Macaca fascicularis: one gene and its partners. The protein of the gene in region 4 interacts with the protein of the main gene of each other region in a biochemical or structural test. Links are inferred from orthologs where the notes say so. Each region holds a gene or a part of one and is shown on either strand. Other genes may lie near its edges. The genes, in order: TANC1, RPS6KA1, FRMPD4, DLG4, RALBP1, ADRB1 and PKP4.

What was found.
Region 1: the proteins of DLG4 (region 4) and TANC1 interact in a test that uses a peptide from one of them, tested with the Homo sapiens proteins (2 studies listed by IntAct, with this or other methods). The link is inferred for Macaca fascicularis from reciprocal best matches to the Homo sapiens genes DLG4 and TANC1.
Region 2: the proteins of DLG4 (region 4) and RPS6KA1 interact in a test that uses a peptide from one of them, tested with the Homo sapiens proteins (2 studies listed by BioGRID and IntAct). The link is inferred for Macaca fascicularis from reciprocal best matches to the Homo sapiens genes DLG4 and RPS6KA1.
Region 3: the proteins of DLG4 (region 4) and FRMPD4 interact in a biophysical measurement, tested with the Homo sapiens proteins (2 studies listed by IntAct, with this or other methods). The link is inferred for Macaca fascicularis from reciprocal best matches to the Homo sapiens genes DLG4 and FRMPD4.
Region 5: the proteins of DLG4 (region 4) and RALBP1 interact in a biophysical measurement, tested with the Homo sapiens proteins (2 studies listed by IntAct, with this or other methods). The link is inferred for Macaca fascicularis from reciprocal best matches to the Homo sapiens genes DLG4 and RALBP1.
Region 6: the proteins of DLG4 (region 4) and ADRB1 form a complex in vitro, tested with the Homo sapiens proteins (2 studies listed by BioGRID and IntAct, with this or other methods). The link is inferred for Macaca fascicularis from reciprocal best matches to the Homo sapiens genes DLG4 and ADRB1.
Region 7: the proteins of DLG4 (region 4) and PKP4 interact in a test that uses a peptide from one of them, tested with the Homo sapiens proteins (2 studies listed by IntAct, with this or other methods). The link is inferred for Macaca fascicularis from reciprocal best matches to the Homo sapiens genes DLG4 and PKP4.

Annotation. Positions count from the first base shown.
Region 1 is NC_088386.1:54,603,185-54,606,684, forward strand, and holds part of TANC1 (protein TANC1), read left to right. Parts: intron 1-302; coding exon 303-584; intron 585-1,915; coding exon 1,916-2,067; intron 2,068-3,500. UniProt on the Homo sapiens protein: May be a scaffold component in the postsynaptic density.
Region 2 is NC_088375.1:208,557,260-208,560,759, reverse strand, and holds part of RPS6KA1 (ribosomal protein S6 kinase alpha-1), read left to right. Parts: intron 1-236; coding exon 237-325; intron 326-1,352; coding exon 1,353-1,417; intron 1,418-1,691; coding exon 1,692-1,794; intron 1,795-3,500. UniProt on the Homo sapiens protein: Serine/threonine-protein kinase that acts downstream of ERK (MAPK1/ERK2 and MAPK3/ERK1) signaling and mediates mitogenic and stress-induced activation of the transcription factors CREB1, ETV1/ER81 and NR4A1/NUR77, regulates translation through RPS6 and EIF4B phosphorylation, and mediates cellular proliferation, survival, and differentiation by modulating mTOR signaling and repressing pro-apoptotic function of BAD and DAPK1.
Region 3 is NC_088395.1:12,495,204-12,498,703, forward strand, and holds part of FRMPD4 (FERM and PDZ domain-containing protein 4), read left to right. Parts: coding exon 1-1,216; 3' UTR 1,217-3,500. UniProt on the Homo sapiens protein: Positive regulator of dendritic spine morphogenesis and density. Required for the maintenance of excitatory synaptic transmission. Binds phosphatidylinositol 4,5-bisphosphate.
Region 4 is NC_088390.1:7,250,563-7,254,062, reverse strand, and holds part of DLG4 (disks large homolog 4), read left to right. Parts: exon of another isoform or gene 1-12; intron 13-710; coding exon 711-765; intron 766-896; coding exon 897-955; intron 956-1,147; coding exon 1,148-1,272; intron 1,273-1,370; coding exon 1,371-1,540; intron 1,541-1,638; coding exon 1,639-1,775; intron 1,776-1,920; coding exon 1,921-2,065; intron 2,066-3,500. UniProt on the Homo sapiens protein: Postsynaptic scaffolding protein that plays a critical role in synaptogenesis and synaptic plasticity by providing a platform for the postsynaptic clustering of crucial synaptic proteins.
Region 5 is NC_088392.1:77,888,096-77,891,660, reverse strand, and holds the end of RALBP1 (ralA-binding protein 1), read right to left. Parts: intron 2,445-3,565; coding exon 2,178-2,444; 3' UTR 501-2,177; downstream 1-500. UniProt on the Homo sapiens protein: Multifunctional protein that functions as a downstream effector of RALA and RALB. As a GTPase-activating protein/GAP can inactivate CDC42 and RAC1 by stimulating their GTPase activity.
Region 6 is NC_088383.1:123,086,498-123,090,648, forward strand, and holds the start of ADRB1 (beta-1 adrenergic receptor), read left to right. Parts: upstream 1-1,351; 5' UTR 1,352-1,612; coding exon 1,613-3,055; 3' UTR 3,056-4,151. UniProt on the Homo sapiens protein: Beta-adrenergic receptors mediate the catecholamine-induced activation of adenylate cyclase through the action of G proteins. This receptor binds epinephrine and norepinephrine with approximately equal affinity.
Region 7 is NC_088386.1:54,096,581-54,100,080, forward strand, and holds part of PKP4 (plakophilin-4), read left to right. Parts: intron 1-1,166; coding exon 1,167-1,716; intron 1,717-3,500. UniProt on the Homo sapiens protein: Plays a role as a regulator of Rho activity during cytokinesis. May play a role in junctional plaques.

The DNA of each region.
Region 1 (3,500 bases), on a different chromosome or scaffold from region 4:
GCCCCTTACATGGCTTTCTGTAATCCTCTTTGTCCTTGAGTCCTGAGAATAACTCAAAGCCATGACCAGACTAGAAAGTAATTTCAATAGGAGACTCTGTAGTGTCCTGTTGGTCCAACAGGGTATGATAATTGAGGTATTACAGAAGTATTAACAGAACCAGATTGGAAATGCTTACAGACAGATCCTAGTGGGGGTAAAGCTAAGGATTTAATGTAACACATAAGCAATGATATTTGAGTTTCTTAGTTTATAAAATTATGACATTTTTCTAAAATAATGTTTCTTTTTTTCTTTTGAAGCACGATTTGCTCCCTACAAGCCACAAGACATTTTGTTGAAACCCTTGTTGTTTGAAGTACCAAGCATAACAACAGACTCTGTGTTTGTGGGACGGGATTGGCTCTTTCACCAGATAGAGGAAAACCTGAGGAACACAGAACTGGCAGAAAACAGAGGCGCGGTGGTGGTTGGCAATGTGGGGTTTGGGAAGACAGCAATCATTTCCAAGTTGGTGGCCCTGAGCTGCCACGGAAGCCGCATGAGGCAGATTGCTTCCAACAGCCTGAGTTCATCACCTAAAAGTATGTGTGTGTTTAATTACATGTGTAGTTTATTAACATAAGAGAGATGGAGGAAATTGCTGTTCACTTAGACATAAAATACCAATTTTCTTCAAGTTGTTGCAGCTACTATATAGGTTTGCAATCGTGTGAAGTAAACTATTTGAATACGTCCCTCTGTCATGATGTGTATTCAGCTATAAGCTGGGGCGAGGCCAGTGTTCCCTGATGTCCTCCTGAACTGTAACCCCTTCTTCCTTTAGATACAGGCAGAGTTGGGCCAGTGAGGCCTGATCAAGTGCTCTGGACAGTTTGGGGCCCTGAGAGCAAGGAGTTGGGCTCCTGGCAGAACAAGCTCAGATGGAGTCTAATGTGGAGTTCTTTTGGCACATTAGAACCTGTTTGGCACAGCCTTCGTCTTCTGTATTGGATTTTCCAAAATTATAAAGACATAGGACAGAGTAGCCAAATGTTTGACTATTTACTTTTTATTTCATATGCAATAAACTCACTCTAAACATGGTGAACAAGTGAATCATGCGAGATTTTTAAGACCCAAAAGAATTTAATAGGTCAGGCACAGTGGCTCATATCTGTAATACCAACACTTTGGAAGGCCGAGGTGGGAGGATTGCTTGAGCCCAGGAGTTTGAGAGCAGCCTGGGCAACATAGGGAGACCTCGTCTCTACAAAAAACTAGCCAGTCATAGTGGTGCACGCCTTTTGTCCCAGCTACTCAGGAGGCTGAGGTGGGAGGATCGCTTGAGCCCAGTAAATCGAGACTGCAGTGAGCTGGGATTGTGCCACTGCACTGTAGCCTGGACGACACAGTGAGAGCCTGTATCAAAAAAAATTTTTAAATGCCAGGGACGGTGGCTCATGCCTGTAATCCCAGCACTTTGGGAGGCTGAGGTGGCTGGATCGCCTAAGGTCAGGAGATCAAGACCAGCCCGACCAATGTGGTAAAACCCTATCTCTACTAAAAATACAAAAGTTATCTGGGCGTGGTGGTGGGCACCTGTAATCCCAGCTATTCGGGAGGCTGAGGCACGAGAATCACTTGAACCCGAGAGGTTGAAGTTGCAGTGAGCCAAGATGGTGCCACTGTACTCCAGCCTGGGCACCAGAGCAAGACTCCGTCTAAAAAAAAAAAATTTAATAGAGGAAGCTGGAAACAGTAGATGGCTGTTCTCCAGGGAGGCGAACCTGTGCTGTCATGTGGACCTCTGAATTTTGGAGCATGTTCACTCCTTACTTATTAAGATATGCCCTGGGGCGAATCAAGAAATATAGTCAACACCCCACCCTGCTCCTACTATGATGTACATAATGAAATGGGTCTTTCTCTGCAGCTTCTGACCCCACTCAGGATCTTCCTTTCACCCCGCTGCTTTCACCGAGTTCTTCCACAAGTGCTTCCAGCACAGCTAAAACACCTCTTGGGTCTGTCAGTGCTGAAAACCAGAGACCAAGAGAGGATGCAGTGAAATATCTTGCTTCTAAGGTAAGCTCTCTTGTTTTATGGGAGCCTTCCAGATAGAGAGATTTGCTAGTTTGGTCTCTGAGAAGTAAATTGGAAAGGGGAGCTTAAAACAGAGACAACTGCTTAATGATAAAGTATAGCTTTTGATGAAATAGTGATTAAATTATCCAAGTAAAAGTATGAATGACAGTATCTGTCTTAAGACATTGGCAGTGGACTTGATCCATGTTAAACAATGGGTTGAGAGTTCCTCAAGGCAGCAGAAGGTAGCATGTGCACTCGCCACAAATCCATGCTTACCTCCATGTGCTCTTCTTAATTTGGTATGTGAGCAGGAAATTGGGAGCTTCTGACTTGACCCAGACCTCTTCCCCTGCACTCTACTGCCTGAGACCTTGGGTTCCCTCGGCTTTGTGACTGAGGTTTCTCGTGAACTTGTAATACAGTCTTCCTTGGCTGGCTTTCCCTTCTTAAATTCATGATCATCAAGATCTTTCTGAAGTTTTTCTTCTGCTCAGCACCCATCACTGGCTCACCAGCCGCACTCCTGCATTAAAGCAGTTACTTCCCTTGCTTCTAGTGGGCTGCTTAAGTTTCCCTGGCCAGTGGTGGTGTGAGTCAGTGGAGCTGGAGAGCTGCTGGAGCCAGCAGCCATGGGGACACATTGTGAGGAGGCCCTGCGGGGAGGTTGGTGAGAGCAGCTGAACAGAATCCTGTTCTGCACCAGATCCCTGTCCCTTCTCCTTCCTGGATGATGACTGCTCTTGGGACTGTCAGCCCTGATGCTTCTGACCACTGGTTCAGAACAGTCCTCTGGTCATGGGTGGGTAATTTGAGATGAGTGATGTAGTGCAGGCTTCAAAGCCATCCCTGCTTACAGTGATTTTCAAACTCCATTGACTGTGACCCACATAAGAGAGACATCTAACACTAGTGATCACTCACACATAATCGCCCACATAACTAAAGCATTTTAGAACTATATTTATTCTTATATTCTATAATATACTCTAGTATTCCTGAGTTTATTTTTAAAAAATTATGGCTCTAAATTGATTTCATGCCTGTAATCCCAGCACTTTGGGAAGCTGAGGCGTACAGATCACTCCAGTGGTCAGGAGTTCGAGACCAGCCTGGCCAACATATTGAAACCTCGTCTCTACTAAAAATACAAAAATTAGCTGGGCGTGGTGCCGGGCACCTGTAATCCCAGCTACTAGGGAAGCTGAGGCAGGAGAATCGCTTGAACCCAGGAGACGAAGGTTGCAGTGAGCCAAGATTGTGCAGCTGCACTCCAACCCAAGCAACAGAGCAAGACTTCATCTCAAAAAAATAAAAAATAAAAGTAAATAACTAAATAAATAGATTTCATGACCCACTGTTGGGTCATGGAAAAAAAAGCAAAGCTGCTTTTGTGAAACGCCGTGCAAGACTGTGGTACTGGACATCTCATG
Region 2 (3,500 bases), on a different chromosome or scaffold from region 4:
TATTACCCTGTCCCTGCCTCAGATTCCCCTTCTAATGAGACTCTCCTCTGGGTTAAACATTATACCTTCCTTTTTCATCCATAGGGGCCTGTGGGTGGGAACCCTGAAGTCTTTGGGAAGTGAATTAGTGGATGGCTTGTATAGACCGAGCTGGGAACTAAACCTGGACAGGGGCCGGGGGAGATGGGGCCTCTGGGGCAGGGCTTGGCCTTGATGAGTCCCGGGGGCTGTTTCAGGGCGAAGCTAGGCATGCCCCAGTTTCTGAGCACCGAAGCCCAGAGCCTCTTGCGGGCCCTGTTCAAGCGGAATCCTGCCAACCGGCTCGGTAAGCAGCCCCAGCTCAGGGGAGGGGATGTGGCGATGGGGAGCCGGGTACAGCTGCAGCCTAGGCCACAGGGCCACATCTGGGCTGAAAGGGGCCGTTGTGCTTTGTGTGGGCAGACAATGCTGCGGGCCACCCTGCCTTCTGGCTCCATGTGTGGTGTTGTGGAGGGGGGAGCTGACCTGTGTGTAGGGGGAAGGCAGGAACTGAGTCATCCCTACTCCCTCTGGGGACAAGGACAGAGGCCCCTACACAGCTTCTCCGCCAAGGCTGCTGGCACAAGAGAAAGAGCATGAGCTCAGGAGTCAGAAGGCACAGGTCCCAATCCCGGCTCTGTGTCAGGTCCCCACTGCCTGGCACGAAACAGTCCCTGTATAAATATTTGTTAAATGAATGAGGCCACTTATGAACTAAGTAACCCCGGGCAGGTGACTTCACCTCTCTACACCCAGGTTCCTCGTCTCAATGGGAGATGATGATCCCAAGCTTGCTTCAGGGCTCTGTTGATGAAATGAGGTTGCGTGAACATGCCGGCATGTAGTAGGTGTCCAGTGTGTGCTGGCTTCCCTGGCTCCTGGGTTCATCTGGTCCATGACCAGCTGTGTAAGGTCCAGTCCAGGCCCCTGGGGTTGAATGGAGTGACAACCTGTTCTATGGTTGAAAATGTCAATAGGATAAGAGGAACAGAGATGAGGCTTGCGTTGGAATGAGGTGGGGCTCTCTGTAGGTCTCAGAGCAAGCTCAGCTTCTGTTCTGACTGTGTGGCCTTGGAGAAGTTGCCTAAAGTCTCTGGGCCTTCCTCCTCCCACTAGTACATTGGAACTTCTTCATCAGAAGCTCCAGAAAGTGGAAAATGCTGAGTAGGTGACAGGCCTTAGGGTGATGGCTGGGTAGATTTGAGGCAGAGTGAGCCCATTTTCCCCTCTGCTCCAGCAGCTGGTCCCAGAGCCCTGTGAGGCTGCTTGGTGGGCAGGGTGGCGTCTGGGGGTTGCGCCACCCAGGCTCAGACCCTTCATTTGGGCTCTTTCAGGCTCTGGCCCTGATGGGGCAGAGGAAATCAAGCGGCATGTCTTCTACTCCACCATTGACTGGAATGTGAGTGTGTCCACCCACGCCAGGGCTCCGGCCATCTTGGCCACAGGAAGGGTGGTGGGAGGGGAGCCTCTGCTAGCAAGGGCCCCAGACGCAGGAGCAGAGGGTCATAGCCTGCCCTTGAAGACAAGGGCTGGCCTCCTGAGGGCAAGCAATTATGCTGTTGTCTGCTGGGCAACATGGCCTATGTTCCAAGCCCAGCACCTCCTCCAGCATGGGGCTCCTGGTGGGCTGTTGAGGGTGCTGTGGTGACCAGGGTGCCCATCCCACTGTGCAGAAGCTATACCGTCGTGAGATCAAGCCACCCTTCAAGCCAGCAGTGGCTCAGCCTGATGACACCTTCTACTTTGACACTGAGTTCACGTCCCGCACACCCAATGGTGCGTCTCTTATCTGTTTTGTCTGTCTTGGGCTGGTACAGGAGAGAAGCCAGGAGTCGGTGGCAGCTTGCGGGGCAGAGATAGTCAGGGACACTGACAGGCCGAGGTGTGTGGATGGGCAGGCGGGTGAGTTTCTGGCTCCGTGGGACTCTGACTTTCGCCCTGTCTCACTCTGCCTGACTCTCTCACTCTGGGGTTCTGTGGGTCTCTTTGTGTCTGGTGAGAGAGTAGGAGTCGGGGTGTGTGGGTGGTGAAGGCCACAGTAGAAAAGTCAGGACCCCTGCCAGGGGCACCTTCCAGCCCACTGGGAAGACCAAACACATCAGGCTTACCATCACGTCAGGGAGAAGGAATCTGACCCAGCCACACTGTGTGGTGGCTGAGCAGAGGTGACAGTGCCCATAGATCAGGGACAGGCATGGGAATCAGCTTTGGCTGCCCTGACTACCGGGCCTCCGTGTACTTACCTGGAACAAGGGCACAGCCACAAACCCACTCATTTCCTGGGGTTGCTGCAAAGAGCCAGTGAAGGAGCTTCTGGGAAGGAGCTGGGTGAATCCTAACTTTTTGGCCAGATATTGACAGTGGGTGTGGGGTGGAATGTTCTGGGAGGCCTCCTATAAGGGCATGTTTTAGGAGAGGGAGTACTTTTCTTTTTTTTTCTTTTCTTTTCTTTTCTTTTTCCTTTTCTTTTGTTTCTTTTCGAGATGGAGTCTCGCTCCGTTGCCCAGGCTGGAGTGCAGTAGCGCCATATCGGCTCACTGCAACCTCCACCTCCTGGGTTCAAGCGATTCCCCTGCCTCAGCCTCCTCAGTAGCTGGGATTACAGGCATGTGCCAGCACGCCTGGCTAATTTTTGTTTGTTTGTTTGTTTGTTTGTTTGTTTTTGAGACGAAGTCTCACTCTGCCGCCCAGGCTGAAGTGCAGTGGCCGGATCTCGGCTCACTGCAAGCTCCACCTCCTGGGTTTACGCCATTCTCCTGCCCCAGCCTCCCTGGTAGCTGGGACTACAGGCGCCCGCCACCTCGCCCGGCTAGTTTTTTGTATTTTTTTTTTTAGTAGAGACGGGGTTTCACCATGTTAGCCAGGATGGTCTCGATCTCCTGACCTTGTGATCTGCCCGTCTCGGCCTCCCAAAGTGCTGGGATTACAGGCTTGAGCCACCGCGCCCGGCCAATTTTTGTATTTTTAGTAGAGACGGAGTTTCACCATGTTGGCCAAGCTGGTCTGGAACTCCTAACCTCAAATGATCCACGATGGGGTGCTTTTCTCACTGTACTTGCACACCTCTGATGACAGGGACAGCAGTTCTCTAAGCAGTCTGCTGGGCAGTGTGACAGGTGCAGCTTTGTAGGAGTCAGGGGCCAGAGAAGCAGCATGAGGCAAGGCTTCTCAGAGGAGGGAGCGAGTGAGCTGAGTCCTGAAGGATAGGCAAGCAATGGATTATCTAGTTAAAGGGAACAGTGTGTGCAAGGGCTCAGAGACCCCTTTAAGGATCTGGGAAGTCCAACGTGGCTCAGCTGTGGTGTGGAGAGAGAAGAGGAGGATCACAAGGCCCTCCATTGCCAGACTGAGAAGCTGGGCTTACTCCTGAAGGCAGAGGGGCACCTTTGAAAGGTGCGGGCAGGGTGGCAGATTTGTGGTTGGAACCTTCCCTTTGGCTACTGTGCAGGGATGGACCTGAAGGGGCTGATGTAAGACGGAGA
Region 3 (3,500 bases), on a different chromosome or scaffold from region 4:
GGTGCCAATTCCAAATCAAGACCCTAATGATTTCTCCCAAGCAAATCAGGCATATGGAGAGGCTGTGAGCTGGCGGCCACCGGATCTGAGAGGGGGAAGCCTCAGGACACCCCCCAGCCAGAAGGCTCTGAGACATAGCAGCAGTGTCCTCTCCGGATCTGTCGATTTGGAGACCTTCCGAGAGAGAACCAAGGGTGCAGTCAGCTTAAAGTGTCCAGGCATCACAGAAGCACAGGAGGCCAGTTCTGAAAGGCGAGCAGAACTCCCCCTGGGGAGGAAGCTCACCAAAAGTTTTTCCCAAAGCTCGATGCACTTGAGCTCCGAGGGGAGGTTTCACAAAAGGTCCCCAGTGGCTCATAAAGACTCAAAGCTGTATAGGACATTACCCTTGCGGAAGCTGGAGGGCAGCAATTGGAGATGCCGGGGACCCTTCAGCTATTGCTTCCTGAACCGAGGGCAGGATGAAGATGGTGAGGAAGAGGAGGAGAGAGGAGAGGCCACCGTCCAGGTCGCTTGCCTCTATAGACCACAGATGACTCAAGCCACGCCAGAACCAAGCAGCCCATGTCTGGCTGTGGCAATTCAGAAGCAAGGAGGGGAGCTATCCAGAGGGTCAGTGCTGAAGGTCTGGGCAGAAGACCTGCGAGGCCCAGATGACTTGGACTTCAGCAACCTGGCTTTTGATGCCCGGATTGCAAGAATAAATGCCCTAAAGGAGAGCACATATGCAATGCCTGATGGGTTCCTTGCAGCCCAAAATGATGCCAATGAGCTGCTCTGTCTCGTCAGGGCAACAAAGGAGAAGAAAGAGGAGTCACGCCCTGAAGCATACGACCTTACACTTTCTCAGTACAAGCAACTGTTGTCCATTGAGTCCAGACAGTTGGGAAGTGCCTGTAGGAAAATGGCGATGGCTGAGAAAAGCCCGGAGGAGATGCTCCTAGCTATGACTTCCAGCTTTCAAGTGCTCTGTTGCCTAACAGAAGCTTGCATGCGATTAGTTAAAGTCGTGAACTCAGAAACACAGCGGCAGGAAATTGTAGGGAAGATCGATGAAGTGGTCATAAATTACATTTGTCTACTGAAAGCTGCCGAAGCAGCCACTGGAAAGAACCCTGGGGACCCTAATGTTGGATTCTCGGTGCGACACTCAACCACCATGGCCGCTCTCGTAAGCACACTGACACGTTCTCTCAAGAGGCTTTTAAACAAATAAATATGGAAGTCACGTCATAATCTACCTTTACGAAGCCATACATGAACTTTTATTTACTTTGTGTGTATGATGAACAGATGTCTCCTTTCTTCTCTCTGTATATTTTGTTATTTTATATAAAATAGGAGATAAAAGTCACATTGATGAAATGTTGAAATGTACTAATCAGATGTATTCTGTTTATATTATACATATATATACACGTAAAAGAAATATCCAAGAAAGTGATGACATTTGGCTATTTTTCATATAGTTAAAACTCCAGGTATATGATGTGAAATTTTAAATTCTACCATGTTAGAGCAAAACAATGAATCCTATCCCCTTTCTTTCCAAGTAGATACTTGGAGATCACATCATTCATATTTAGAAGTAAAACAAAAAAACAAAAAAAGAGAGAGAAAAGAAAAGAAATCACAATGTATATAAAACAGTACTAATGTTTTAAAATTATGATTTTTAAGCATTGGAAATAGCAAAAAGACATTTAAAATTCAAGAAGCTATTATGAATTACTAGAGACTATATCTGTAATAAATTAATTTTTTGCTCATAGTATTTGGTTACTGGATGCTTTCTTCCAAGAATCCCACATATTTAATTTGGGTTTTTGCTATTTGGGCTACAAATTGGTGGGGGTGGATTCTACTGTGTCAGCACAAATGCTCTTCACAGTGTTTCTAGCATTTAAAAAACTTCCCAGGGAGAAGAACAGAGGGGATGATGGGCAGTTTCCTAGGTAATACCTAGAGTTATAGAATATCTCATTACATAAAATGTATGGAATTAATAATGCCAAAATTAATTATTTGATGGAAAGATCTGCTTTGACTAAATGTCAAAAATCTACAAACCAAAGACATTATCTTCCCCTCACCGCAACTCAACTATGAAACTTAAAATTCCCTTTAGAATGATGGGACATTTAGTAAAGTATTTGCAAACTTACAAAAGGGAACATTTAATGATCATCAAAATTAAGTATTGATTCAGTGATGTAGACCAGACCACACACCAGCACCTGTGAGTCTCATCTCAGATCACAGCTCTCAACATAGGGCTTCATGCATCACCGCCTCTACAGAGGCTAAGGCTGCCAATCAAATTTGGAATTACAGTGTAGTACTGGGACAAAATCTCAAATCTTGGGTGTTCCAGAAAATCAGGGAGAAATGGCTACTGTAACCATGGGAACCATGAGTAAATAGTTAAGTATTTATTAAATAAATACTTAATCTGGATTGGCTGATAAAAATATGAAATCTGAAAAAAAAAAGAAAGAAATGGAAGTGGTATATTTGACCAGTTCAAGTGAAACCAATGGAATGCAAAGAACTTTCCAGGACTGTCACATCTCTAAAAGTACCCTGCAGTCATAAAATAAAATCGATATTATATATATATATTTCCTGGGTCATTCAGTGCTCAAGTTACATGCACTCCTACTTAGACAGGTGGCTCCTTAAGAATACGACGGGAGTACACCAGGTGCAAATATTTCTACTTTTGTAGCCTACTGAGAAGGAGGCATAACACAGTCCACAATTGCAATCTCTCTCTAGTCAGCCATTCCACAGGGACTCAACAACAAAAGCCACACGTGGTTATGGATGGCAGCGAAGGAAAGGAGTTTAGGCGTGTGTTATTATAAATAATGTTTAACTAAATAATAAAACATTATTTCATTACAATTATAATTATAAATATTGGTGTTTTGATATTGAGAGATATTAGTGGTGTTTACTGTGGAAAATCTTAGTAAATATCATTCTGTGTACTAAAATCCTAACTTATTAATAGGATGTGTGCCCTATGTCAGACAGTGTGCTAAGCATATTAACTATATTATCTCATTTAATCATCACAACAATCTGCTGGTTTGGACACTATTCTCTCTGGAGGCAATATGGATGAGTTGTTACGGATATGGGGTTTGGGGTCAGAAACATCTTATTTAAATTTTGACTCTGCCATTTTCTAGCCCTTTCGTGTTGGGAAAGCTACTTTTTCTAGTCTCAATTTCCTCATAATAAAATAAAGTCAATTATAAGATTGATTTCCATAGGGTTGTCATGATTTTTGAGTATGTATGTAAAGTTCTTACCACAATACCTGGCAGAGAGTAAGTATTCAATTAATGTTAGCTATTATTATCATCATAATCATTGTGTTAAATATACTACTGCCCAAGATAATATGTGGGGGAATGTTTGTTTGTTTTATATGCATATTGTATCCTGACTGTGTGCAGAACACATTATGTGTATTGCATATATGTAAAAGA
Region 4 (3,500 bases):
GGCCTCCTGGAGGTGGGTCTCCCCGGGTCTTGGCTGGTCCTAGATACCGTTGCTAGGCAACACGGTCCCTAGAGGAAGGGGTGGATTGGACGTCTGGTTGGTGAGACCAAGGGAGGGGTCTGCAGCTGGGGGAACCCCGGATTCCCGGGGTGCAGGGTTTAGGGCAAATGTGTGTGAAGGTGAGGGACAAGTCTAGGGGAGGATTATGATAATATCCGGGTAGTTATGGGGGGATGGGGGGGGATGGGGCAGGAAGTGGGTACCAGGACCCGGTGGACATGATCCCTGGGTTGTCCATGTGTAGCACATAAGGCATGTAACACCCTGTGGTGTTACATCCGGTGAGAAGCTCCCTTCCCCCAAGCCTACCCCCCTCTCCCCACTCTTTGCCATCTGCTGCTCCCCTCTCCGTCTGGCTGTCTCCCTTCCCGCTTCTCCTACACCTCCTTCCACATGCAGGGGGCCCCGGGCTGGGCAGAGTTAGATCCATGTGCTTGTGCATCTGTGCGTGTGTGTGTGCGTGCGCATGTGCACGCGTGTGCGTGTGTGTGTGATGTGGAGTGAGACTGGGCCCTTGAGCAGCTCTCAGCGTGGCAGAGTGGGCTTGGCTAAGAGGCTGAAAGGGTAGCCACGCTGATGGGACCCTCCGTTACGGGCTCCCTCTCGAGTCAAGGCTCAGGTGGCTTTTTGTCTCTTGTTTCCCCAAACAGGCCAATTCTCCCCCTGTGATTGTCAACACAGATACCCTAGAAGCCCCAGGATATGTGAGTTGTTTAGATTTTGGGGCTAGGGCCATTGCAGAAGGAAGGAGGGAGTAAGGGAGGGAAGCAGATGACGGGCAGGTTGTGAGGCAGGAATGTCTGTCTCACTGCTTTTGTGTTTCTGTCCCGTGCTGGAGTTGCAGGTGAACGGGACCGAGGGGGAGATGGAATACGAGGAAATCACATTGGAAAGGGTGAGCAGGCTCCTCCATTGGCAGTCCCCTTGCCCCCCCATCTGTACCTTTCTTTCTGCCCATGTGGTCTGCGTGGCCAGCCCCTCACCCTATCCCTTCCTGCTCTGGCTGCTCCAAGCCATTTCCCACCCCACTTGCCTTGCCAGACTTGGGCAGTGAGGGGAGCTGACCCTCTTCCCCTCCTTCGCCCAGGGTAACTCAGGTCTGGGCTTCAGCATCGCAGGTGGCACTGACAACCCACACATCGGTGACGACCCGTCCATTTTCATCACCAAGATCATTCCTGGTGGGGCTGCGGCCCAGGATGGCCGCCTCAGGTGAGGAGAGGATACAGGGGTTAGGATGCTTGGTCCCTGGAGAGGGAGGGCCAGGGCAGCAGGAAGCTCTTGGCTCAGGCCCACCTTGCTGCTCCCAGGGTCAACGACAGCATCCTGTTTGTAAATGAAGTGGACGTGCGCGAGGTGACCCACTCGGCAGCGGTGGAGGCCCTCAAAGAGGCAGGCTCCATCGTTCGCCTCTATGTCATGCGCCGGAAGCCCCCAGCTGAGAAGGTCATGGAGATCAAGCTCATCAAGGGGCCTAAAGGTAGTAACTCATTTTGTTCCCCCATCCCAACTGTCCTGTGCCCCCAAGCCTGCTTCCTGGGCACCTGGGCACCCACCTCTGGCCTCCCCTCCATCCAGGTCTTGGCTTCAGCATCGCAGGGGGCGTAGGGAACCAGCACATCCCAGGAGATAATAGCATCTATGTAACAAAGATCATCGAAGGGGGTGCTGCCCACAAGGATGGGAGGTTGCAGATTGGAGACAAGATCCTGGCGGTGAGGACCCCATCTAGTCCATTTTCTAGCCCAAATCTGGGTCTCACCTACTAGCCCTGGCAGGCGCAAGTTCATCACTTCATCCCAGTCCATCTGTCTTGGGCCATTTGTGGCTTTGTCTGAGCTTTGCTTTCCTTGACTCCAGGTCAACAGTGTGGGGCTAGAGGATGTCATGCATGAAGATGCTGTGGCAGCCCTGAAGAACACGTATGATGTTGTCTACCTAAAGGTGGCCAAGCCCAGCAATGCCTACCTGAGTGACAGCTATGCTCCCCCAGACATCACAACCTGTGAGAGCCCTTCAAACACCAAAGCTCCCCATGACCCATCCCGTTTAACCCATGACATGCAGTCCCATGACATCCCTGTAGCTGTCCCTCTTCAGATATTCCCAATGAAATAGCCACAACCGAGACGGGCGGATCACGAGGTCAGGAGATCGAGACCATCCTGGCTAACACGGTGAAACCCCGTCTCTACTAAAAAATACAAAAAACTAGCCGGGCGAGGTGGCGGGCGCCTGTAGTCCCAGTTACTCGGGAGGCTGAGGCAGGAGAATGGCGTAAACCCGGGAGGCGGAGCTTGCAGTGAGCTGAGATCCGGCCACTGCACTCCAGCCCGGGCGACAGAGCCAGACTCCGTCTCAAAAAAAAAAAAAAAAAAAAAAAAGAAATAGCCACAACCTCTGATCCTTGCTGTTGTCAGAGAAGAGATGGAAAATCAATTACCATAAAAGAACTAGAAAAGATCGTCAATGATCTCTCCCATGGAAGGCACAAAACCTGTTTGGTTTTATGGCTAATTTTATGAAATTCTCAAGGAATAGATAATTCTTCTGCTCTTCCAGAGTATAGGAAAGATAAAAGATTTCACATTTCATTTTATAAGGTCAGTTCAAATGGTCACAAGGATAACGTAAAATAAGGAGAGTATAGACCTGTTTTGCTTCTGAATAGAGATACAAGACTTTATAATAATATAGTAGCAAACCAAACATGGCAGCATGTTAAGGAAATAACATAGGATTTGTTTCAGAAAACTAAAGATGGCTCAACATTAGGAAATCTCTCAGTATGATTCATATATTAAAATGTTAAGGGAGGCCAAGTGTGGTGGTTCATGCTTGTAATCCCAGCACTTGGGAGGCCAAGGTAGGAGGATTTGAGACCAGCTAGGGATTTGAGACCAGCCTAGGCAACATAGCGAGATCCTGTCTCTACAAAAAATAAAAAAAATTAGCACACACCTATACTCCTTGCTACTTGGGAGGCTGAGGCTGGAGGATCACTTGAGCCGAGAAGTTGGAAGCTACAGTGAGCCAATGATTGTGCCACTGCCCACCAGACTGGTGACAGAGCGAGAGGAGAAAACGATACGATCATCTCAAATAGACGTGAGAAAGGCATTTGGTGAAATTCACCATCTCTTTTGGATGAAAGCTTTTAGTAAACTAGGAACAGAGGAATTTTCCTTAGGATGGTGAAGACTAGTTATCAGGAACCGGTAATGAACATTTTATAATGATACAATTTTAGCAGTGTGTCCATTAACTTATTTTTAAATTTAATTTTAATTTTTATTTTGTTTTTGAAATGGAGTTTTGCTCTTGTTGCCCAGGCTGGAGTGCAGTGGTGCGATCTCGGCTCACTGCAACCTCTGCCTCCTAGGTTCAAGTGTTTCCGCTGCCCCAGCCTACCGAGTAGCTGGGATTACAGGCACCCGCCA
Region 5 (3,565 bases), on a different chromosome or scaffold from region 4:
ACAGATACTTTAATTGTGGAATTTTTAAAGCAAAAAAAAGCAATGGAAACTTCATTTTTATTCTAGACCAGTCTATCCCAGACATGCTAATTATGGTTGGCTGTGCTGAGTCCTCATTTACCGTGTGAAATGCAAATGTCTGTAAATGGCAATGCCTGGGGCCAAGCCAGGCCAGCGGACTTGTATGCAGTTCCCACCGGGGCCAGGAGCTGCTCAGTCCGCAGACCCAACCCAGTCCGCTGGGTTTTGCAAACACACATAGGCTCCCTCTGCAGCAGCGTGGGCTCGTGGAAGGGAGGTGCGCCGCAGCCAGCATGCATGCCAGGGGTCCGGGGTTCTCCCCGTGTCTGCAGAGGTGAGGGGTACAGCTCAAAGAGGTGAGCTGAAAACAAAACACTGTGTCCCCCCTTGGCCTTGAAGAAGTGCCTCAGCCACCTCCTCACCAGCGGCAGAGTACTCAATCTCCTCACAGAAAGAATGGATACAAAAACACTAGAAGCTTTTCTTTTTCCCAAATGGCTGTTGCATTTATTTGCTTGATCAATAATGGTCCTGGCAAAAATTAGTTAACCAATGCTGAGACATTTGTAATGAAATACTAATTTTAAAAATCCATGACACCTTGATAGAAATTAGAGTTTACACAAACAAAAAAGGAACCTTCGATATTGCCAGCAGCTACAAAGTGAATGTACTGAGACCGACAGGACAGCAAGAAGGCATTTGCACATTTATATCTGACACCCGACCATACTTTCAGTCACCAGAATATCTTCTCTCCAGATTTAAAAAAATAGTATGCTGATTTCTATAACAAAGCTTTTTTCCGTACAAAAATCAAATAATGGCCAACGAGTCACAACAGTGCAATAGGTAGAGGATTAAAAACTGCATCAAACAGGTGCTGAAAATAAATACTACCTAGGAGGAGGAGAGAGCCCTCGTGTGGGGTTTGTTTTCGTCCCCTTGAGTGTGTGTGGGGTTTGTCTTCCGAGCCACGAGCCTGGCCTGTCTCACGGTGCTATTCACTCTGACAGAGTGCACCTGCAGCACGTGCCTCCAGGGCCCAGCCTCCCAGAAGCCTCAGAGCATCAGAGCATCCGTCTCATGTCTCATTGGATGGACCAGAGACAAGAAAATAGGGTGGGGCGAATCACAGTTACCATTCAAAGGAAAGGAATTTTTTTCTATTGCTCAATCTTGTCAATTGGGAGTCAGTCCACCAGTAGGTTCACTGAGACGATATGGATAATTTCAAACTTTTGTTTAAGAGCATATATATGGCTTATTCAGGCAAGGAGACGTGTACATTCTAGCCCAAGCAAGCAATCAGAGTCATTCAGTTTTTAAGGAAGGTCAGTCGTTTAAAAGATTTCTGGTTTGAGCAACATCCTCTGTGGATGCACCAGGCCAAGGTGACTACCTTTGACCAACCCAGTGAGAAGGCCTTTGCTGGTCCCCGCAGTGAGGAACCCGCGGGAACGGGCGGCCTCCTCCCCGCAGGCCTGCGCTGCCCAGGGCAGGTGGGCGGGCTCCACAGGCAGCCCGTCTGTGGCCAGATAGGCCGTCCTGGTGACTCGGGCTTATGGACTGCGGTTTACAACTGCAGGAGACAGTTAGGAGGGTGGACCAGGGAACACCCACCAGGCGCTGCTCTGACCAGTCAGAGAACGTGAGGCAGCTCCCCCATAGGGATCTGCACCGAGAAGGTGTGGAAGGCACAAGCAAGAGTGACGGTACCAGAGATCCCGGAGGGCGTGGCTCGCGGCGGCCACAGCAGGCGCAGCGCTGACCTGGTGTGGTTCCCCCCTTGAATGAGAAAGAGATCCTGATTCTGCTGTGATAAAAAAGCAAAGAAAGACGATTTTTGGTTTAAAAAGAAGCCACTCAAGGGTTAAAATAGTTATTTTAAGTTAACAAAAAAAATTAATCTTCAAATAAGCTGACACTATCTGGAAAACTCATCTGTCCCTAAAGCCCACAATGTGTCCACTGCTTCGTCCTCCCATGGAACCTGAGCCTGACGCGAAGGAGTCAGACGTGTGACAGAGGAAGAGTCTGAGAAGAGAAGACACCTTTACAGAATGTACAGCGGGAGAGCCGGCCTGGCCCCCGGGTTACAGTAAGATGCACGGGTCCTTTCAGTCTCGCGGACTCCAGACGGCCGCGCAGGCTGCTCAGATGGACGTCTCCTTCCTGTCCCTGCTGGGCGATGGCTTCGCCGGCTCCTTGCCTGCCTTTGGCTGCTCTTTAGCTGCTTTCGGCTCGAGGACGCCGTCTCTGGGCGGCTGGACGGCACCCCCGCGCCACTCAGGCTCCTGGTCCTCCTGTGCCTGCTGCTCGGCCTTGGCCCGCTGCATCTGGAGCAGCCGCAGCTGCACTCGCAGCTCGATGATCGCCTCGCGCTCCTCATGAATTGCTTGATTCAAATGATTGTTCTTTATCTTGGGGAATGACAGAAAGGGCAGTTACCACTTAAGGAAGTCAGAGGACGATTTCTCAGGAGCAGAGCGCAGTTAGCAAGGGCGTCCTACAGAGGAACCTGGTTTTAAGTCAGTGGGTTGTGAAACAGAAGACACACACAGGGAGAATGCACAGTGCACAGTGAGGGCCACGTGACTCCTCAGAATGTGAGGCTGGAAACCTCGCTCCTGGTTACTGGAGGGAGACACATCCATGTGCCAACCGAAACCCGTCATTTTAATAATTCAGTGTCCTAGTGTTTAAAATAGACAACTCATAACTTCGAACTGGCTTCTGAACAGCCCTTGAGAAAATAAAAGTAATTTTAGCAGCAATTAGAAAGGGGAGTTAGAGATCAGATAAAAAACTAGATTTGTTTCAAAGGTGAATATCCTTTGTCTTTTGTGAATGGCATTACTGTAATTCTGAAATGTCCTACTCAATCAAACTATAGAAAATTACTATCAATTCTAAATCATCTGGACATACTCGGCAGAGTTTAGGTACCGCGGAATAGCAGCGGCCCTGCCCGCCATGGCCTCCACTCTGTGGCGGGTGCCAGCTTCCCTTGCTTGGGTGTGGCATGGACTAGGCTCTGCAAAAGGGGCGTAGACATAAGCACAAGCACCGAGTGCCACGCGTGCACCCTGTCCTTGGCCACTGGGCATGCCTTCTCCCTTCCCTGCTAACTTAGTCCACCCCGCGTGGAAAAAACTGGTGTGGAGGATGATGGGCTGGACCACCTGCCACACAAGAGACACCATCTTGTTTAGACCACTATGTTATTCTCTTTATTACAGCAATTCAGCCTACACTCCAAGTACAATACTTCTGGATTCTGTTTTCCTACTCAGAGTCAGTGGCTGTGTGTGGAATTCTGCTTTTCTATGCAGGGGGTAGTTCTGGTTCGCACCAGCCACTGAGCCAACCCAAATGAGGGACACAGAGCTGTCCCTCTGTCCTTAGATTCCTTTCTATGAAAAGGATGTCTTCTCTCAATCCTTAGGCAAAATATCTGGACACAATCTTTTATTTGGGGTAAGAAGGGAAATTGTGATCTAGACCTTTCTCTCTGCCGCCTTCTCTTCACTGTGCAGCCTCT
Region 6 (4,151 bases), on a different chromosome or scaffold from region 4:
CAGGTTAACAACTCACTAATTTCAAAGCGATTCATTTGCCAACTCAAAAAGCACAGATACAACTTTAAATGCTTTCGGATTTTAATCCTCTGGAGTATTTATATGTTTTCTTGTCTTATCCCTCCAAAACTAATGTCAGAGTTTTGAGAATCTGGGAACTTGGGCAAAGGAGAAAACAAGCACGCAGACCAAGGAATCTGAAATCGCAGTTCATGACGTCAGCATAAACCGACAGTACCTTTTTGTTTGTATTGACCCAGCTCAAATTATAAAATCACATGAGTAATAAAACACAAAATACAGGTGTTGTCACTGAAAAGCCTAAAATGTAACTAAACGCGTTTTCCCCCCTCGCGGTGGTATCATTTACTCTGTATCTCAACGTTTCTGTCTCCCTAAGACTCTCCCTTTATATCGTGAGCACACATTTTTGCATCATGCTCACACATTCATTAGCTAGGACTGAGGAGTGTGTACGATTCCAGCGGGCCCTCAGCGTTAGCTGTTAGATGCACAAACCTTCACTTCCTTTCCACATCTACTGCACTTGAGGTTCAACAGAGGATCCTTGCAAGAACAGCGCCCAGAGAGCATTCTTGACAGATGCGCGCTTAGCTCCAGCAACCCGCTCTGCTGGGAAGTTTCTTCTAACCACTAACACCCACCTCCAATCCCCCAAGCTGTCACGACGCAGGCTGGCTGGGTCCCGTCTTGACGGGGGAAGGGTTTTACACACATCCTGCTAGGCTGCCCCACATCACAACCAAGCTCGCAGGGCAAACTCCTCCAAGCCTGGCGGACAAGCTGTCCCAGGCGCTCTGGCGCTTCCTGAACACCAAGGTCCCCTCCGCGCTCAAGGGAGCTAGCGCACTGTTACGCAGGGAACCCCGGCACTGCAGGTCGAGGGGATGCCGAGGGAGCGGGGGCGCAGCAGGCAGCCGACTGCTGTAGGCAAACGGCGCGCAGGAGGCAAACGAGGCGCAGGAGCCGGTGCGAGAGCGAGTGGGCGCTGAGAGAGGGGGCGGGGCCCCAGGGGGGAGGCGAGCGCGGGAGGGGGCACGGGAGAACAGGGACCAGGAACCAGCGGGCGCAGGAAGGGGTGCGTCCGCAAGAACCCGCGGGCGCACGGGAGGCACTAGCTCCACGATCAGCTCGGGACTCTCAGGAGCCGCTCAATTGCCAACGGGAGGGGAGTGCGGGGAGTTGGAGGTTGGGGGGGCTGACCAGACGGGGGCGTGCCTTTGCCCGGATTGGCTGCAGGAGGCTGACGCGAGGCCCCGGGGGTTGGCTTGGGGAGTGGGAGCGGGGTGGGGTGGGTGCTGGGTGCCGGAGCTGCGGGCCCGGCGCGCTCAGAAACATGCTGAGGTCCCGGCGGCTCTTCCAGCAGCGGCAGCGGCTCCAGCAGCAGCGGCGGCGGCGGCGGCGGCGGCAGCGACAGCGCTCGGCTCCGGCGGGAAAGGCGCCCGGCGCCCATGCCTCCGGCCCCGGGCCGCGGCTGCCCTGACCCGGCCGCGACCTCCCTCTGCGCACCCCGCCGTCCAGGCTTCTGGGGTGTTCCCCAACCAAGGCCCAGCCCTGCCACACCCCCCGCCTCCGGCCTCCGCAACTCGGCATGGGCGCGGGGGCGCTCGTCCTGGGCGCCTCCGAGCCCGGTAACCTGTCGTCGGCCGCACCGCTCCCCGACGGCGTGGCCACCGCGGCGCGGCTGCTGGTGCCCGCGTCGCCGCCCGCCTCGTTGCTGCCTCCCGCCAGCGAAGGCCCCGAGCCGCTGTCGCAGCAGTGGACGGCGGGCATGGGTCTGCTGATGGCGCTCATCGTGCTGCTCATCGTGGCGGGCAACGTGCTGGTGATCGTGGCCATCGCCAAGACGCCGCGGCTGCAGACGCTCACCAACCTCTTCATCATGTCCCTGGCCAGCGCCGACCTGGTCATGGGGCTGCTGGTGGTGCCGTTCGGGGCCACCATCGTGGTGTGGGGCCGCTGGGAGTACGGCTCCTTCTTCTGCGAGCTGTGGACCTCGGTGGACGTGCTGTGCGTGACGGCCAGCATCGAGACCCTGTGTGTCATCGCCCTGGACCGCTACCTCGCCATCACCTCGCCCTTCCGCTACCAGAGCCTGCTGACGCGCGCGCGGGCGCGGGGCCTCGTGTGCACCGTGTGGGCCATCTCAGCCCTGGTGTCCTTCCTGCCCATCCTCATGCATTGGTGGCGGGCGGAGAGCGACGAGGCGCGCCGCTGCTACAACGACCCCAAGTGCTGCGATTTCGTCACCAACCGGGCCTACGCCATCGCCTCGTCCGTGGTCTCCTTCTACGTGCCCCTGTGCATCATGGCCTTCGTGTACCTGCGGGTGTTCCGCGAGGCCCAGAAGCAGGTGAAGAAGATCGACAGCTGCGAGCGCCGTTTCCTCGGCGGCCCCGCGCGGCCGCCCTCGCCCTCGCCCTCGCCCTCGCCCTCGCCGGTCCCCGCGCCGCCGCCCGGACCCCCGCGCCCCGCCGCCGCCGCTGCCACCACCGCCCCGCTGGTCAACGGACGTGCGGGTAAGCGGCGGCCCTCGCGCCTCGTGGCCCTGCGCGAGCAGAAGGCGCTCAAGACGCTGGGCATCATCATGGGCGTGTTCACGCTCTGTTGGCTGCCCTTCTTCCTGGCCAACGTGGTGAAGGCCTTCCACCGCGAGCTGGTGCCCGACCGCCTCTTCGTCTTCTTCAACTGGCTGGGCTACGCCAACTCGGCCTTCAACCCCATCATCTACTGCCGCAGCCCCGACTTCCGCAACGCCTTCCAGCGACTGCTCTGCTGCGCGCGCAGGGCTGCCCGCCGGCGCCACGCGGCCCACGGAGACCGGCCGCGCGCCTCGGGCTGTCTGGCCCGGCCCGGACCCCCGCCGTCGCCCGGGGCCGCCTCGGACGACGACGACGACGATGTCGTCGGGGCCACGCAGCCCGCGCGCCTGCTGGAGCCCTGGGCCGGCTGCAACGGCGGGGCGGCGGCGGACAGCGACTCGAGCCTGGACGAGCCGTGCCGCCCCGGATTCGCCTCGGAGTCCAAGGTGTAGGGCCCGGCGCCGGGCGAGGACGCCGGGCACCCGGGGAGGAGGAGAGCCCGGGCGCCCCGGAACGACTTCCCGGGGGAACGAGGAGATCTGTGTTTACTCAAGACCGAAAGCAGGTGAACTCGAAGCCCACAATCCTCGTCTGAATCATCCGAGGCAAACAGAAAAGCCACGGACCATTGCACAAAAAGGAAAGTTTGGGGAGGGATGGGAGAGTGGCTTGCTGATGTTCCTTGGTTTTTTTTCTTTCTTTCTTCCTTTTTTTTTTTTTTTTTTTTTTCTGTTTGTGGTCCGGCCTTCTTTTGTATGTGCGTGTGATGCATCTTTAGATTTTTTTTCCCCCACGTTGGTTTTTGACACTCTCTGCGAGGACCGGAGTGGAAGTTGGGTGGGTTACGGGAAGGAAGAAGCATTAGGAGGGGATTAAAATCGATCAGCGTGGCTCCTATCCCTTTCCCAGGAACAGGAGCAGTCTACCAGCCAGAGGGAGGAGAATGACAGTTTGTCAAGACGTATTTTCTTTTGCTTTCCAGATAAATTTCATTTTAATTTCTAAGTAATGAGTTCTGCTGTCATGAAAGCAAAGAGAAAGGATGGAGGCAAAAAAAAAAAAATTCACGTTTCAAGAAATGTTAAGCTCTTCTTGGAACAAGCCCCACCTTGCTTTCCTTGTGTAGGGCAAACCGGCCGTCCCCCGCGCGCCTGGGTGGTCAGGCTGAGGGATTTCTACCTCACACTGTGCGTTTGCACAGCAGATAGAACGACTTGTTTATATTAAACAGCTTATTTATGTATCAATATTAGTTGGAAGGACCAGGCGCAGAGCCTCTCTCTGTGACATGTGACTCTGTCAATTGAAGACAGGACATTAGAGAGAGAGAAACAGTTCAGATTACTGCACATGTGGATAAAAACAAAAACAACAAAAAAAAGGAGTGGTTCAAAATGCCATTTTTGCACAGTGTTAGGAATTACAAAGTCCACAGGAGATGTTACTTGCACAAAAAGAAATTAAATATTTTTTAAAGGGGGAGGGGCTGGGCAGATCTTAAAAACTAAAATAAAATTCAAACTCTACTTCTGTTGTCTAGTATGTTAT
Region 7 (3,500 bases), on a different chromosome or scaffold from region 4:
ACTTCTTTCCTTACTTCCCGAACTAAAAGTGGTTGTGGGTTGTCATCCTAAAAGTGATGACAACTAGACTCTAGCAACCACTACGGAGGTAACAGAGCAGCCTGGTCCTGAGCTTCTAACCTGGAGCCCTAATGTCTGTTTTTATTTCTCAGTTGGCTCTCCTTTTTCCCATACCTGTTCCCCTTGGGCCCCTTCTCCAGCCCAACCATTCCTTTTTATTGTTGCACAGCATCAAAAACAGTGTCCAGCACCTGCTGTAATTGCAGGAATCAACAGATTCATAGTAGGATCAGCCATGGCAGAAATGTTCATTTTCCAACCTAGTCTTTTCCAGCTGGCTAGGCCAAGAACCCAACAGAGGCTTTGACCATTCCTCCTGCTGGAATAGATTTGGGGGTGCCTTTTTTTTTTCACATCTCTTTAAATCCACCAACTAAAGCTAAGAACTCATAGATTGGAAGAGGTAAAAAGAAATGGCTAAAGTGAGGAGAAGCTATGCTTGATCTAAAGGAATCAACAAATTTGCCTAGAGCACCTGTGTAGCCAAGCTGTTCCCCGAAGTAAATTCACAGTGGAGAGCGCCAGACCCACACTTGATCCAAATGTTCATTTATTCCACAATGAAAGAACATGTTCCTTTTGTTAATGGGACCAACCCATAAAGAAAAACAATGATAAATATTCCACTAGCTACATTTAGACTGATATATTCAAATTATATTCAGAATTTTGTTTTACATAAATGTATTGCCTTGGCCAAACTTTGCCTCACAGGGAGTGAAGTAAGTACATTGTTCCGGTGCCCCTTCACGCTCATGAATTACTTGTAACACTTAGAATAAAACATTTTATGTGCTGTGAACAACGCATGGGCAATAGTTAAAAATGTAAAGATAAAAAGGAGTATTAAATGTCTTCAGATCTCTTTTTATGGGTTAATTTTAGCATTTGGTTTAAACCACCAAAAAAAAAAAAAAGTAAAACAACTGAAGCACCATGAGGAAAAATTAATGTCTGGCTCAAAGCGTAAAAAGGAAAAGAAACTTAGACGCCTAAAATAAATAGTGGATTCACGTTCTGTAGTGAGCTATGTGTATTTCTTTTGTAATGGCAATGAACACAAAACCCTGGATAAACCCATTCTCTTTTTTCCCCCCTTTCATCAGCCATCAGTAGCCAATCGGGCCATGAGAAGAGTTAGTTCAGTTCCATCTAGAGCACAGTCTCCTTCTTATGTTATCAGCACAGGCGTGTCTCCTTCAAGGGGGTCACTGAGAACTTCTCTGGGTAGTGGATTTGGCTCTCCGTCAGTGACCGACCCCCGACCTCTGAACCCCAGTGCATATTCCTCCACCACATTACCTGCTGTGCGGGCAGCCTCTCCGTACTCACAGAGACCCGCCTCCCCAACAGCTATACGGCGGATTGGGTCAGTCACCTCCCGGCAGACCTCCAATCCCAACGGACCAACCCCTCAATACCAAACCACCGCCAGAGTGGGGTCCCCACTGACCCTGACGGATGCACAGACTCGAGTAGCTTCCCCATCCCAAGGCCAGGTGGGGTCGTCGTCCCCCAAACGCTCAGGGATGACTGCCGTACCACAGCATCTGGGACCTTCACTGCAAAGGACTGTTCATGACATGGAGCAATTCGGACAGCAGCAGTATGACATTTATGAGAGGATGGTTCCACCCAGGCCAGACAGCCTGACAGGTGCGTACAAGGTGACAGTGCTACATAAAACCCAGTGAGGAAATCTTCTGTGTAACTAAAGCTGAAACAAAGAATGAAAAGGTGGAAAGGGCTCATTCATGTTTTTAATCTCAGAATTTAAACTATGAACTTAAGGTTAACTTGTCTTTCAGGCTCTGTAATTCTTAATACATGAAATTATATACATTTATATCAATAGAATCATTTTACAATGGATACAACTCTTTTGTAATATTTCCCCCTCAAAATATTAGGGTTTAAAATGTACATTTTTTTGCATTTCAGAAGTATTAGTTGGAATTCTAAGCAGTTGACTAACTTTTTTTTAATGAAATATTTTTTACCAGCCAGGCCTACCCCTAAACATACCCTAGCGTTATGTTAAAAGGTGGTATCAGAATATCTGTTTAAATATTTAAATTTTTTCTTTAGAAATACTTCGGTAGTATAGACTAGAATATGAATTTTATCGCCTACTTGACTTTGGCCTTTTAATGGAAAGTGCACAAAGCACTTATAAATTACCTTTACATGCCACTCCTATTAAAGCAGTAAGACACCGGATCCCTAATACAGCTGTTCCAACTTCAGGGTTTTTCATGGAGGGTTTCCCACATGATGTAAAGATTTGGTTATTTTAAATAAAATGCAATTTAACTGTAGTGTTTTAAATTATATTTTAAAAGTAACATATACCGAATGGTAAAAATTAAAACTATACCGGAAAATACTGAAATGAGTGAAAGCCTTTTACCCTCACCCAGTCCCATCACAGTTGATGTGACTTTCAGAATGTTTCTTTGCATTTACAGATACACACCATGCAAATCTGCACACACATTGTGTTTTCTACTGATGGAATTCTGTCATATAGATCTCCTATACTTTGTTCTTTTCACTTACTGTGTCTTAAGAGCTCTACTTCATTCTTAATAGATGCATGGGACTCATTTTTTATAGATAGTATCAATTTATTTGTCCTTTTCCTACTAATGGACATTTAGGTTGTTTGTTATGTTTAGCTATTAGAGATGATATAGTATAGTATACATTGTTCTACCTGCATATTTCACATAAGTACTAGGGTAACTGGGATCCAGTAGAATTGCTGCATCAAAATATGTGTGTATTTTTACTTTGAGAGATATTACTTAGAATTGTCTTCTAAGAAGGTTACACATGGATTTATGTTTCTGCCAGTAGTTTGAGTGCCTGTTTCTCTATACCTTGTCTACACTGCACTAGTGCTGCATATTCCAAGTTTTTCATATTTGCCAATCTGATAGGTAAAAAGCTGTACCTCATTTTTTTAAAGGGCTTTTATTGAGTTATGACTGAGGTTGAAGATTTCATATGTTCATCAACAGCTTTATTTTGTTTTGTTAAACTATAAGTTCAAGTCTTTTGTCTATTTTTATAATTTGTGAAAGCTTTTTTTTGCTAGAGATAAGTTAGCACCTCATAATATGCTTCTCAAGTATTTTTTCCATTTTGTCACTTGTCTTTTTATTTCATTTTAGTTTTAATATACAAAACTGTTTAACATTTTTACATAGTAAAATTAGTATCTTTTTATGGCTTCTAGGAAAGTTTAAGCCTTTTGAGATTTTTCTGATTGAATAATTTTGCCTGGAGAATTTATATTGAACTTAATTTTTGAGCTCAGAGAAATTCTTAGTGGAGAAACCACCTCTTATTCATTCATCCATCCAAGAAGTATGTTTGGCTTAGATATTTTTTGCAATGCCTCTGAAAAGTATGCAGCAAAATGATGTAGGAATCAT